2 linked regions of the Macaca fascicularis genome follow. The protein of the gene in region 1 interacts with the protein of each later gene in a pairwise test. Links are inferred from orthologs where the notes say so. Each region holds a gene or a part of one and is shown on either strand. Other genes may lie near its edges.

Evidence for each region. The genes of interacting proteins can lie anywhere in the genome.
Region 2: the proteins of KHDRBS2 (region 1) and PRR3 interact in binary tests that used the Homo sapiens proteins (3 or more experiments, as listed by UniProt). The two-hybrid records come from large-scale screens. The link is inferred for Macaca fascicularis from reciprocal best matches to the Homo sapiens genes KHDRBS2 and PRR3.

The regions. Positions count from the first base shown.
Region 1 is NC_088378.1:112,615,469-112,622,807, reverse strand, and holds the start of KHDRBS2 (KH domain-containing, RNA-binding, signal transduction-associated protein 2), read right to left. Parts: upstream 4,385-7,339; 5' UTR 4,146-4,384; coding exon 4,055-4,145; intron 1-4,054. UniProt on the Homo sapiens protein: RNA-binding protein that plays a role in the regulation of alternative splicing and influences mRNA splice site selection and exon inclusion. Binds both poly(A) and poly(U) homopolymers. Phosphorylation by PTK6 inhibits its RNA-binding ability.
Region 2 is NC_088378.1:142,095,387-142,102,697, forward strand, and holds the start of PRR3 (proline-rich protein 3), read right to left. Parts: upstream 4,379-7,311; coding exon 4,273-4,378; intron 4,012-4,272; exon of another isoform or gene 3,856-4,011; intron 3,548-3,855; coding exon 3,485-3,547; intron 352-3,484; coding exon of another isoform or gene 313-351; exon of another isoform or gene 1-312. Other genes in the region: GNL1 (guanine nucleotide-binding protein-like 1), read left to right, coding at 5,539-5,611, 6,027-6,192, 6,552-6,688, 6,828-6,979, 7,097-7,168.

The DNA of each region.
Region 1 (7,339 bases):
AGAGGGGGGAAATGACACATCCTATATTTCCCAGTAGGTAGAAGTGTCAATACTCACTCCTAAGTGTTTTTCTTGTCAAAGTACAAATTTTCCACTATATCATAAATTGTTTTAATTGAAGATCAAAGATAACTTGAATTTAATTTTTTGCCCATGTTTTTCTTTTATTTAAGAAACATAAGTAAGATTATCCCAAATCTATTGGGAGAAAAAGGTGATTACATTAATCAAAAGAAAAGTCACTTTAAAGAGTCACAGGAATACTATTTTTAACCAGAAGCTGCTTTAGACATGACACTAATAACTTTCCTTAATTTAAAAACATATGAAGCTTTATGAAAAATATTTAAGAAACACTATCTAACCAAAAAATGGTTCTTTTTGATAACCGAAATGTAGTTAACTCACAAGTTTGCATTTGTGATAAGTATTAATCCCTGCTTCCTCAATATTTTAAGATCTCACTTATATCTGCAAAAATAAAGGCCAAGTCTAGATGGGAAGTCAAACTTTTCACTAAAGTTTGAAAATAGCACCTACAGTTTTTCGAAAACCATTCGAACTGCTGGGGTATTTGGCAGTGTTTGACATCGTCATATAATGCTTGCAAAGATTTCAGGCTAGGAAGTCTTCCCCAAACCGCTCTCAATTGGACAAAAATTTCTAATGCTCCTAAGAATATGGAATCACTGTAATTGAATATATAAATCCAAACAGATCTATGTCTGTCAGCAGACATAGAATATTTCCAGACAATATTCTCATGTATATATATTTTTGGCCTCAAACATTAATAGTAGTTCAATAGACTTAAGAACATAAATCTGTCCCCAATACCCAAAATAAAATATACACCTCAAATTACATTTTAGTGCCATAAATATATTATTAATCATTAAACTAGGAAAGAATGAAAAAAGTTTTGAAAATGTGCAGCCATTGATTTTTTGTTCCGAATATACAAACATCACTTCGTTGTATCCATCAGTAGTCTGAGACTTAATTAGAATTGCAAAAACAAAAAAAAACAAAAAAAAAAACCATATACATCACTTAGTCCAACTCCTTAATTTGAGAGACAAGGAAACTGGGCCCAGGGAAAGAAAGCTTACCCAGATTCAGTTGAGGTTAAAGTGGAATTCAAATCCAGGTATCTAGATTCACAGTTTAATGCACTTCCCAGAAGCAGAATAGATATAAATAACCTCATGTAATTTCATCTGGCAACCAAATTCAGACTCTGAGTAGAACTTTAAAGATAGTCCTGAGTTTGCTGTTTTATCATATTCAAAAGCACCTACCATAACAAGTGGATAACTAAACAACATTATAATCGCAGGACGAACATTATTTTAATTATTTAAGCATACTAGAAACAAACTTCAAACTACATTATTCAAGATTTCTTCTGAGTAACAATCAATTGAAATCATTCTTATGGAAAACACACAGCAGAAACAAGTGAAATAAACTACAATGGACCCCCCAAAAACCCCAAATAAACATCCAACTAGTACTTTCAACCCCACAGCCTTCAATTCTACATGCAGCACTGTCAATTGAGCCCTGATTTGCATCTATCACCAATCAAAATGCAAAATAAATCATTGTGAAAGCTCATTGGTTTATATTACTGCCTTTATAGATATTAGCTTCCGGAAAATCATTCTGAAGAACTGAATCATCTGTATCATTTTTATTACTCATTCAGGCTTGACACTGTCTGCACAGTACTGACTGAAATGTACTTCAGTATGCACCTTCTCTCCAAATGAATATCTATGTCAGGTTTATTTATAGCCACTGCCTTCAATCAGTGCATTCTCAAGTATAAGAAATAAAATCACCTCAATGATACTCTTCTATAGACATCTGAAACTATGTGTGGACATCTTGGCAACTGGCCTTTGGAAAGATAATGAAAGATCTATACCATAAAATATACATTAAGATCATTGAGATTCCAAGAACAATCATCTTACACTCTTTAATAAGCACATGTAAAGAGTCCCAAGTACTGAGGTAATCTAAAACTTATGCATCCTTTTGCATAACTCTTTATGTACTCCAAGATTATTATAACCTCCTCCATTCTCTTTTCCTTATGCTGATTTCTCTGAAATTTAGGTACCCTCTTTGTTTCTTACTTAGATGCTTTCCTCTATTCAGGAGCTTTTCCTTCTAATTCTTTACAAAAGCAGGGCATGCTTCCCCCTGCTGGGAAAAAATCAAATTACAAGGAACATCAGAACATGTTCCTAAGTATTATATCAAGAAATCAAGTTCCTAGGAAAGATAAAATGTTAAGGAACCAAGTGCATAGCCTTCTCTGACTGCTTTACCAGACAAAGAAATACTTATGCACTCTGTTAAGAGTTTCTTGTACGCATTTATTTAGCTTGACCGCCTTCAAGTACAATAACTCATATTAATGACTGATGAATTAATCTTTGAGCCACTTGTCTCAAATAGAACTCTAATTAGCGGGTCAGAGAGAACGATCAATTTGTAAGTGTTTTTTTTTTTTTTTCACTTTAAAGACATATTATCAGCTACATAAAGAAATTTCTGGAAAATACATTGAAGACTATTCAAAATATATTAAAGATACTGAAGACTGGTAAGACTTGCCTTTTAAATCATTTCAAACAATCTTAAACATCTATTAACTCATTATTTTGCTATTATTTTTATGTAGTTGTCTTTTTTGAGAAAGCAAAAAAGTGCATTTTTATTGACTTTACTTTTCCACTTTAATTTCTATTTTTTTCATTCAGTAACCAAAGTAGTAGGCATAATTGTATTTCACCTTCCCACTTATCTATAAAACAAGCTTTTTTCCCTGAAAACAGTTCAGTTATTTCACATGTTCCATGTTTTGACTATAAATCTTTTTCTAACTGTTTAGCATTTAAACATAAAAAAAACCTTACACTTTATTGTTAACATAAATAACAATCCATCAATTAAAAATATAGCTAACACCGATTTAAATCATATATTGAGGAGCAGAATTTATTCTTCCTTGGTACAACTAAGTCTCAAAAAAATCTTTTAATACTGAGGAGCTGGGGTAGAGGAAGTTATCCCTTTTAGTTTTTTGCTGTATGTAAGTCCATAACAACCTTAGCTACAAAACTGCACTGTAACCAATTTGATGATGAAGCAATTCATTATTAATGAAGCATTCATCTAAAAAAATCTGCAGCTGTTTTATAAAAGGCATGTGTAAATAACTACAGATATAGGTGTCTTGAGTATTTAGATGGCATTATTATAACATAAACGGAGTAATTTGGTTAATAAAGTTTGTGTGTCTTTTTTTTTTTTAACCTTTCAAAGCAATGCAAAAGACAAGACATATATGTTCCTCTGGGAACGAAATCTCCTTTAACATTACAGGTACACAAAAGAAAATGCACACTTGGTAAAACAGTTGATCAATTATAGAGCGTTCCCAGGGACCAGTATCTCGCAGAGTACCCAATCATCACACTTCAAATAAATGTATAAGCACTTTAGCCTCTACTTACTACATTAACATACATATAAGAACATGCACAGTTTAATGCATAGGTTAATTCTAACACTTTCCATAGGATAGACTTTGATTAAAGGGCATCAAACATCACTTCCTAAATGCAGTAAAAAATAAAAATAAAAATACTGATCTGTAGCCAAAAAGCTCTTAGAACACTACATTGATCACCATTGACTTCCAAACTGCTTTCCCCTCCCTCAGCGAAGTGAAAATGTCCCTGTAGACCGCGTTACACTTTACGGTTTCTCTATCAACGATCCTAACAGGTCACATCGCCACTGCCATTAGATCTCCGTAGCTTTGGTCTTCTCCAAATTAAGACGTGGAGAAGGAGCACTGCTGTCCGCCCCAAGAACGGGGTCTGTCCGCCCGAGCTCTGAGACGAGCATCTTCAGGGGGACAGTTTCTGCGAAGGCGGCGACAGGAGTCCCTCCCCAACTTCACTCCCCTAATCAAGCCAAGGGTGAAATAGGCAGCCGGCGGTTTGTGCCCATCGGTGGGGGCAAGTCCTACCTTCTGCCAAAAGGCGCGATGCATGCACAAAAGATGGATCCAGGCTATCTTTCTCTGCCATCAGCTCAGGCAAATATTTCTCCTCTTCCATAGCGCGGACTTCGGACTGTCCCCGGGCGAAGCGCGAGGTTCCGCTCGCTCGGACGCAGGGTCGTGGGGCAGCGCCTGGCTCCCGCGCTGCTCCTCCTCTGCGCGGCGAGGGGATCTCTGTGCGTCCTCACTGGCCCATGCACCCAGCACCTGCGACTCCCGCCGTCGGGCTGCGTGGCCCCGCGTCCACACCTGCCCGTCCCTTCCGTCGTCCCTCGCTCGCGCCGAGCCCGGGCTCACACCAGCGGCCTTAACTGGAGAGGCGGGAACAGGGCGCGGCCCACCTCCGCCAACCACTCATTGGTGGTGATGCCAGGAGAGGCGGGGCGCTGGCGAAGGCCGCGGGCCCTCATTGGGCCGTGGTGCACGTCGGGTCGCCTGACTGGCAGGAGGCAGCTGCAGAGGGGAGGGGAGCTCGGAAGATGCAAACGCTTTCTTCTTGCAGCCCAAGCCTTCCCTGGCTATTAGGCATGCCCAGTTCTGTGGAGCTCTCTGTGTCTTCAGCTAAGGTGCAGAGGAGAGAGAGGGCGGGAAAAGCGCCAGGTTAAACAGAGAGGTCTGAGTCCAAGTGGACAGGGGAGATGGAGATGAGAAGTGAGCCGCTGAGAGGGTGGAAAAGCGCCAGCGAAAGTCTCAGGAAGGTAGATGGGACTTCACCTGCGTCTCTAAGGCACAGGTGTCTCCTTTCCCTCACACAGCTCAGACGCACTACAGTTGTGCAGGAATCAGCAGCGCACTGGGTCTGGAAATATAATGAAGACTGCATGTGATCGGCAGCTGGTATTTCCGATGACCTACATCTCAGATAGGCAGTAGGATGTTCATTGATAAACAAAAAAAGCGGCTCGGAGAAATATTGTGCAGAAACATTCTTCCGGTGTAGAATCATTGGGATATTGAATTAGTTCTGGTAACCTATCTGTCCCTCCTTTCCCCAGACCCTATCTGTGGAAGGCAGGTTGGGAGGGGCTTAATTTAAAAACATATATATATATGTGTGTGTATATATATATATGTATGTATATATATATATATATATGATTCATTAGTCACAGTTTGTGAAGGAATTGGGAAGACATGTAGAAGAAGAGACTAGAACATAGGTAATCACGTTTGCTCTAATTCTCCCCTTTCTCCTCGTTGTATATGTGCCAGTCTCTTTCACCAGGTACTGTTGCTGAGCTACTTTGTATTATCCCACCTCTATTTAAAGGAAAGTTAAACCCTCATGATATCACCAACTGTGACCGAAAAAAAGCCCCATCCTTCTTTTACCAATGTGGCCATAAATGTAACTTGCATTCCTCAATCGCTAGGAAATAATCTTTCCCCAAGTCTTGGGTTCTCTTTTCATAAGCAGTCATTTCCTGATTCTTTCCCCCATTACTTTTGATGTAGAAGAATGAGGGCCAACTTTTCTACAAATAAAATATGCTGAAATTTTTCCAACTTCTCTTACTGAATTTAAATATTTTCCTTTTTATTTAATTTTTAGATAAATTTAGGAGATTATCTTTTATTTATATAATGTTTAAATAATGTAACGTGCCTCACATCAATTATTTCAATATGTCCTCGCAGAAGCACTCTGAAAGATGCCAGCCAAGTATTACTTTCTCTGTTTGTATAAATATGGGAACTGAGGCAAAACAGAGAACTTGTCTCATGACTAGTGAATGCTGAAGTTGAGATTAAAATTCAATTCCATATTAGCACCATTTAGATCCAGATTATACTGCTTCAACCTACCTTTCTGTGTGTTAAATATTTAATTTATTTGTGCATGAGTGCATTCAATAAAAGTTTATTGGATACTGAAAAGAGTCTAGGGACAGTACTTAAAATTGGAGAAACATTGATGAACAAGATACACATTCATTCCTTGTCATCACAAAGATATTTTCTAATGAGAGAAGACAAATAAAACCAAGTACACAAGAGAAACGGTAATTGCTGGCTGCAATAAAGGTCAAGAAAGAACCAAGGAGTTAAGCAAGATACTACAAGGGAAGACATTAGTTTCTTTATTTTTAACTAGGGTAAACATACAATCTCGATAAGCAGCTGATATTTACGGTGAAAATTCATGAAAAAGATTGAACCAAGTGTGTGCAATGTGCAAAGAAAGGCATTCTAAGCACGGGAACTTGCCACTGAAAAAGCCCTGTGGTGGAAAGAACTGTGCTGACTTTTGGAATTGACTGGTTTCAATGTGACTACTGTAATATGGGAAAGAATGGAATCAATAAGAGTGGGGGATTGATGTGTACAAACATCCAGGATTCGATGAATGAAAATTATTTGGATTTTATTCTAAGTGTAATAGGGGACTATAAAGTATTGGTGTCTTTCTGGATGTTCTTCTTAATCTCTTTCTGATTTTTACGTTACTTTCAAAGAAGCTATTATTTAGAAATGAGTACATATACAAAAAGTTCTTGCTATTTTATCGGTGTGCAGAATGTTTAGTAGTTGATGGGTCATGCATCCTGCACCTGGTCTGCAACAGGGATATAAAGGGAAAATATGCTTCAAACTTCAAAGAGGTGGCTACGATTTGCTATTGTAGTCAAGGATGAATACGATGCCAATCACAGCCAAAAAACTGTAAATATTTTCAAATAAATGTAAATTAGAACAAAATATTTTACAATAATTACAATAACATTTTGCATATCAAGAGATTAGAAGCATATAGTGAGGATAGGGACGTGCAGAAACCCAGTTTCATGAATGAAGATGGTGTAGGAAATCTTATAATGTCCAGCAACAACAATTACTTTATTATTCAAAGCCATCTTTTCTATGATTACAGGATTAATAAGATACCACAGAGAGCTGTCCAAGTGCTGACTTTATTATATAACGTCTTCAAGTCATTATAAATATAGTCACGTTATTTTTCTCTAGTTAATATCAAAACTAAAGATTTATTATTTGTAGTTCCTCAGGTAATCCCTCATCAAATACCTAAAATGCATTCTAACAAAGCAATGTATTTATGTAACCTAAAAAATCAAAAGAAAATAAACTCTAACCTAATCTTTAGAAAAGTCTGTGTACTTAGTACATGATGGATATTGTAAAATAAAGATATATAAATATATTGACCCTTAAAAATCAATGTGCTTCAGAATTAACTCACAAAATATTGCCCATTTTTAAACAGAATATGACTAAATAAAGGTAAACACC
Region 2 (7,311 bases), about 29 Mb from region 1:
CTTGAGTTTCCACCACCAGGTGAAGAGATAAAGCCTTATTAGCACCTCAAAAGATCCTCCCCTTGTGCCCCTTTTCCCATTACCCACCCTCCTCCCCAAAGGTAACCACTATCCTGACACCATAGGTTAGTTTTTGCCTGTTTTTGAACTTCACAAAAATGGAATCATACAGTCTGCATTCTTTTATGTCTGGCTCCTTTCGCTCAACATCATGTTTGTGAGATTCATCCAGGTTGCCTGTAGCAGTAGTTCATTCATTTTCGTTGCAGTGTAGTCCCATTGCATGCATACACAACAACTTATTTATCCATTCTACTGATGATGGACATGTGGGTGGTATCCAGTTTGGGGCTATAACGAGAAATGCCACTATAAACATTTTTATACATGTTGTTACACATACGTATGCATTTCTGTTGAGTATATACATAGTAGAGGTATTGCTGGGTTATAAAGTATATGTTATGCTCAAGTTTCACATATAATGCCAAATTTTTTTTCAAAGTGGTTATAGCAATTTGCACTCCCACCAGTAGTTGTCCTATAGCCTTGGCAACACTTAGAATTGTTAGATTTTTAAATTTTGCCATTCTGGTGAGTGTGAAAAGTGGTGGTTATTTTGTTTGGTTATTATTTATTTAATGAGAGATTGGGTCTTGCCACATGCCCAGGCTGGTCTTGAACTCTTGGGCTCAAGTGATCCTCCCACCTTGGTCTCCTAAAGTGCTGGGATTACAGGCATGAGTCATCATGCCTCGTTTTGTTTGCTTTTTATTGTGGCAAAAAACACATAAAATTTACCATTTTAACTATTTTTAAGTGTACAGTTCAGTAGTGTTATGTATATTCATATTGTTGTGAAACAGATCTCCAAGTTTTTGTTCGTTTGTTTTTTGAGATGGAGTTTCGCTCTGTTGCCTGGGCTGGAGTGCAGTGGCGCGATCTCGGCTCACTGCCACCTCCGGCTTCTGGGTTCAAGCGATTCTCCTGCCTCAGCCTCCTGAGTAGCTGGGATTACAGGTGCCCACCACCACACCTGGCTAATTTTTGTATTTTTAGTAGAGATAGGGTTTCATCATGTTGGCCAGGCTGGTCTCGAATTCCTGATCTCATGATCCACCTGCCTTGGCCTCCCAAAGTGCTGGGATTACAGGCGTAAGCCACCATGCCCGATCTCCAAAAGTTTCTTATCTTGCAAAACTGAAACTCTGTACCCATTAAACAAAACTCCCCCTTTCTGTCTTCCTTCCCCCAGCATCTAGTAACGACCATTCTACTGTTTCTTTGAATTTGACTTTATTTTTATTTTTTGTTTTGACAATCTCACTCTGTCATTCAGGCTGGAGTGCAGTGGTGCAATCTCGACTCACTGCAACCTCTGCCTCCCAGGTTCAAGCAATTCTCATGCCTGAGCTACCTGAGTAGTTGGGATTACAGGTATGCACCACCATGCCCAGCTAGTTTTTCTATTTTTAGTAGAGATGGGGTTTCGCCATTTTGGCCAGGCTGTTCTCGAACTCCTGACCTCAAGTGATCCACCTGCCTTGGCCTTCAGTGTGCTGGGATTACAGGTGTGAAGCACCACGCCTGGCCCCTGAATTTGACTTTAGACACCTCAGATAAGCAGAATCATACACTATGTCTTTACTGAACATAAAGTCCTCAAAGTTCATCCATGTTGTAGTATGTGACAGCATTTTCTTCCTTTTAAGGCTGAATAATAATCCATTGTATGTACACGCCACATTTTGTTTATTCTTCCATCAGTGAACATGTGGGCTGCTTCCACCTCTTTGTTATTGTGAATACTGCTGCTATGAACATGAGTCTGCAAATATGTCAAGACCCTGCTTTCCATTTTTTTTTTTTTTTGCTATATACCTGGAAGCAGGAGTTCTGGGGTAGTTCTATTTTTAATTTTTTTTGTCATACATACATATTTTTAATTGCTTAAGAGGAATCTCTTCATATTGTTTTATATAGTAGTTTCACCATTTTATAATCCCAGCAGCAGTACACAAGAGTTCTAATTTCAAAGTGGTATATTTTTATCTTGCATTTACTTGACGATTAATGATATTGAGTACTTGTTGATTTAGACTTTTAGTTCATTTAGAGCTCCATTTTAATAAGGTGTCCTTTTTTTTTTTTTTTTTTGATCGATTTTTCAAATGGCTTGTCTGGAAGAATCCTTTATATATTATAGATAAAGGATCTTTATTGGTTATATTTGTTGCAAATATCTTCTATTGTATAGCTTCCTGTTAATTTCTTAATGGCGTTATTTGGCAAGTTTATATTTTCTTTTCTTTCTTTCTTTTTTTTTTTTTGAGACAGTCTCACTCTGTCACCCAGGCTAGAGTGCAGTGGTGCGATCTCGGCTAACTGCAACGTCCGCCTCCAGGTTCAAGCAATTCTCCTGCCTCAGCCTCCTGAGTAGCTGGGATTACAGGCGCACACCACCACATCCGGCTAATTTTTGTATTTTTTAGTAGAGATAGGGGTTTCACTATGTTGGTCAGTCTAGTCTTGAACTCCTGACCTCGTGATTCGCCCGCCTCGGCCTCCCAAAGTGCTGGGATTACAGGTGTGAGCCACTGCACCTGGCCGCAAATTTATATTTTCTAATGGAGTTCAATTTATCAATCTTTCCTTTATGGTTAGTGTGTATACCTACATTTCTTGTCTGTTTAAGAACTCTTAGCTACTCTTAGAAAATACATTTACTTTCTAGAATAATTATTCTCTTACCTTTTATACTTAGATCTACAGTCCATTATACAATATGATTATGACTACAAGGTGAAATTCCATTTTTTAACATGAATATCCAATTGATCCAATATCATTTATTGAAAAGACCAACTTTCCAGTTCCATCTTCATCATAAATGAAGTGTCCACACATGTATGGGCCTGTTATTGGACTCTTCGGGACATAAGTCCTGTTGACTTATGTGTATCATTGTGTCCAAACTGCATCGTTGTAACTACTGTAGCTTTATAGTAAGTCTTTTTTCCTTCTTGTTTTTATAGACAGGATCTCACTATGTTGCCCAAGTGGCCTCAAAAACTCCTGGGCTCAAAGGATCCTCCTACCTCAGCCTCCTGAGTAGCTGGGACCACAGGCATATGCCACCATGCCCAGCTTACAAATCTTGATATTCATAGTACGCACTCCCACTTCAAGATTGTTTTGACAGTCTCTCACCTTGATATTTTGCATTTCCCTATAATACTGTGTATTTCCACAAAAACATTATGGGTGTTCTGACTTGGAATGCATGAAGTCTATACATCAATTTGGGAAGAAGTGACATTTTTACAACATTGAGTTTTTCAGCCAGCAAATATACAACTTCTCTCCATTCATTTAGGGATGGAATCCCTGACCTTTTGATTTTTAAGTCCTTCCTGGGTTTTATCCCCTCCCTTGCCGTCTTATCCGCGACCTAATACAAGGATCAGGGCCCCTTCCTCCTCACCTGACTTAGGGTCGCCAGGTTTTCCATTGGCCATGGGGGGAGGGCCCAGAAGGCTGGGTGGTCCTAAGAGCAGACATGAAAATATGGTCATCAGAATGGATTAAAGGACTGATGATTCTGTTCTTAGGCGTTTTTCTTGTATTACTCATTTCTTAATTCAACCAGTAAAGTCAGGTATATTTTCAGCAGTCTTAGGAGTTCTCACCCCATCTATCTGCTCTTTTTTCTGCAAAGCTGTTTCAGGGTTTGCAAAAAGTAGATATTCAATCAAAGGCGATAATGCAGGAAAAGATACAACTTTTTCTTTTCCTCACCGTACCGTCGCTATCCAAAACAACCTAAGTGTCTCCAGACATAAACCAATCCCTCACCTTAACTGCTGGCCAGTCAGTTCTCTTCTCCTTTCACTCGGCCAGAGGACTAGTTTAGAGAAAGCGGCACCTGTACCTTTTCAGTCAAAATCCGGATACAAACTGTCAACCCAGTCATCGCAATCTGCAACATCTCTACTGCCCCTTTCCCCTACTGTTCTGCGGCTGCGCAAAAGAGCTCTTTACTCTCTCCACCCCCGCGTTCCAGAAAGGTTTGGGGCCGTATTGAGGTTGACGGTTCCAGTAAGAGAACTCCTGGTTCAAGGCTCCATTTGGGACAGCCCTGCTGCCATCCCTACCCAGCGCGTGCGCCCTTCCTCCTTCCGTTAGAGCCCCTTCCTTCGCACCTTATTAGCCCCTAGCCCTTCGCCCGGACGGGCTTGACAGGCATGTGCACATCCCTCCCTGACCCCTCACCGATGGGACTCCCATCCTCCTCATCTCCAGTCTCTTCCCGCTCGGGCAGTGGGGGTTGCTGCTGTGTCGGTGGCTGGTGCTGATTCTGCTTCTTTCGTTTCGGCATCGTGGCTGCGGCAATGGCTGCAGCGGGATTTGGAGGGTAGTGAGGAAGGGGCACGCGGGGATTCTGTTTCCGCTTCCGGGGGGTCGGTGGGCAGCAATGCCCAAGCTCCCACCATTCCACTTCCGGAAGGTTGCGGAGAACATCTGTGGCGGCCGCATTCTGGAGTAAACTGCCTCTCTCCGTCTCTGCCAGGCATGGCGGCAACCTCACACCTTCCCTTTGCTGCGTTTCTATAAATGCTTTGAAAAAATTCCGCTCTTCTTCCCTCGCTGGAAAACACCACAACCAGCTCCTCAGAGTGTGTCACAGAGTCAACAGGCTCTCGGGCCAGAAGGCCTGAGAAGAGGACTGTCGCACCGTAAGATCGCCACATCCGGTCCTCGGTTACTATGGTAACAGCTGCAGGCACAACTTTGTGCCCTTTGACCTCCCTCCAAAAGCCCTTGTCCCGCCTGGGTTTCGCTTCTCGCCCGCTTTTGCACTTCTGATCTGTAAACCTGCTCCTTATCATCGTTCCCACAAGGAATTTGGGTCCCAGCAGGTCGGCAGCCAGGACTCTTCAGACCGCCGCCCTCCCCTAAAGACCTCTGACCGTGCCCCCGGTGTAGCCCAGCAACCTGGCTTCATTCCCGGGACGCACCGTCTCGGCTTTCCACTAAGGTCAAGCCTGGGGGTTGGGAGTGTAGCCTCAGCGAGTCCACTCCTCCTCTCCCCTAGGTAATAGGCCCCGCCCTCCGCTCCGCCGCCCCCTCCAGGTGAGTGGTAGCTTCTCCCGGGAGCGCAAGGTAGTGATGACACGCGCTCCCCCCTCCTCCGAACGCGAGTTGGTAGCGTCCGTGACGGAGTTAGCCTGGTCCTCCCACGCGCGCCTCCTTCCTCGCCGCCGGGGTGCTCTCTCCGTGCCACTGGCTCTCACGTGCCAGTAGCCCACCCCGCATCATCCTTTCGCCTCGCTCCTGGAGGGAAGTGACTGTGTATCTCCCCTGTCCGCCTTCCATCGCCGCCGCGGCGGCAATTCGGTCGGGCCCGCCCGCTGACGTCACCTGCTAGCTCCGCCTCCTCTAGGGTCCCGGGCCCCTGCGGCGGGGACTGCCCCGGGGGGCAGTCAGTTGAGGCGGCAGGAGCTCGGCGGAGGGCGGGCCAGGTGACTGGTCCGGGCCATGCCGAGGAAGAAGCCCTTCAGCGTGAAGCAAAAGAAGAAGCAGTTGCAGGACAAACGGGAGCGGAAGAGAGGTCAGTGCGGGAGCTGGAGGAGGAGGCGGGGCTCGGGCTTCCGCACAGCTGGAAGGAGGGGTGTGCCCGCTGCACCTCTGGGGGTCGTGGGAGGGGGTCGTGGGACCGCGCCAACCCTCGCGGCCTATCGCGGAGGGGATCTCCCACACCACCCCCCCACATCTGGAAGGGGTGGGGAAGGATGGAGAGTTGGGGGAGGGGAATCCCTCCAGCTCGCACGGGGCGCCGTCCCTACTGCTCCCTGGAGGAGTGATTCCCCCCCACGCACATCCGGGAGGGTCCCGAATAGGGTGGTTGGGAGGACAGAGCGTCGGAAGAAGTTGAGTGGGATGAAGAAGAGTCAGACCGGTGGGGGAGAGGGTCTTATGGCCCCTGAGAGCTGGCCAGCACTGGCGTCACCGGCCCCTCCCCGCAGGGCTTCAAGATGGGCTGCGCTCCAGTTCCAACAGCCGCAGCGGGAGCCGGGAGCGGCGAGAGGAACAGACAGACACCTCGGACGGGGAGTCTGTGACCCATCATATCCGCAGGCTTAACCAGCAGCCTTCTCAGGGGCTGGGTCCACGAGGCTACGACCCAAATCGGTGAGGGTGGGAGGGGGCGCTGGTCCCGGCTTTCCCGCCTACCCGGAAATCAGAGCTTTGGGGGAAAGCGGGCTGCTGCTGGTGAAGACGGTGGGCCTGCGATGCCACAGTTCTCCGCTAGCCCCTCGGCTCCCCAGTGCGGGCCACAATCTTGCTTTCCAGAGGGGCTGGAGAGAGTTGGGCTTTTAGAAGGAGGAGGCTGAGTATTGCCTGAAAGAAGGACTTGGGGGAAGGCTGATTTGAGAGAGGAGACTTGAACGACGAGAGAATGCTTTGCGAAGTTGATTGTCCAAGAGGGGAGAAAATAGGAGTTTGTGGCCACAGGATTGCGCTGGATGTCTCGGTCCCTGTTCCCTTAGATACCGACTGCATTTTGAGAGAGACAGCAGAGAGGAGGTAGAGAGGAGAAAGAGAGCAGCCCGGGAGCAAGTTCTACAGCCGGTCAGTGCTGAGGTGTTGGAGCTGGACATCCGGGAGGTCTATCAGCCTGGCTCAGGTGAGTGAGAGCAAGACAAGTATTGGGCTGGGGAAGGAGTTTGGAAAGGTAAGAGCCTAGTGTGAGGATGGAGGGGTCTGGGATGTACTCTTGAATCCTAAAAATTCCCTCACACTTGGACTTTTTCCTGATTTCCCAGTTCTGGACTTTCCTCGACGTCCTCCTTGGAGCTATGAGATGTCCAAGGAGCAACTAATGAGCCAAGAGGAACGGAGCTTCCAAGAGTATCTTGGGAAGATTCATGGGGCTTACTCCTCTGAGAAACTCAGCTACTTTGAGCACAATCTGGAGGTGACAGTGTACTCTAGGGACAGGAGTGGGGCATAGTGACCAATGGTCAAATTGGCTCGGGATCAGGCTTGAGAGGGACTCTGTGTTCAGGTTCTCTTCCTGATCTTGTCTTTTTAGACATGGAGGCAGCTGTGGCGTGTGTTAGAGATGTCTGACATCGTCCTGCTTATCACTGATATCCGACATCCAGTGAGTACTAGGAATAAGGGTGGCCAAGGAGGAGGAGGGAGAAAGGTTTTTCAGGAGCAAAGGTCAGAGGCAAGAGTTGGGAGACAGGTATCTATTTTCCTGTCTTTCTGACCTCTACCTAGTGCTGATGTCTGCAGTTAGGA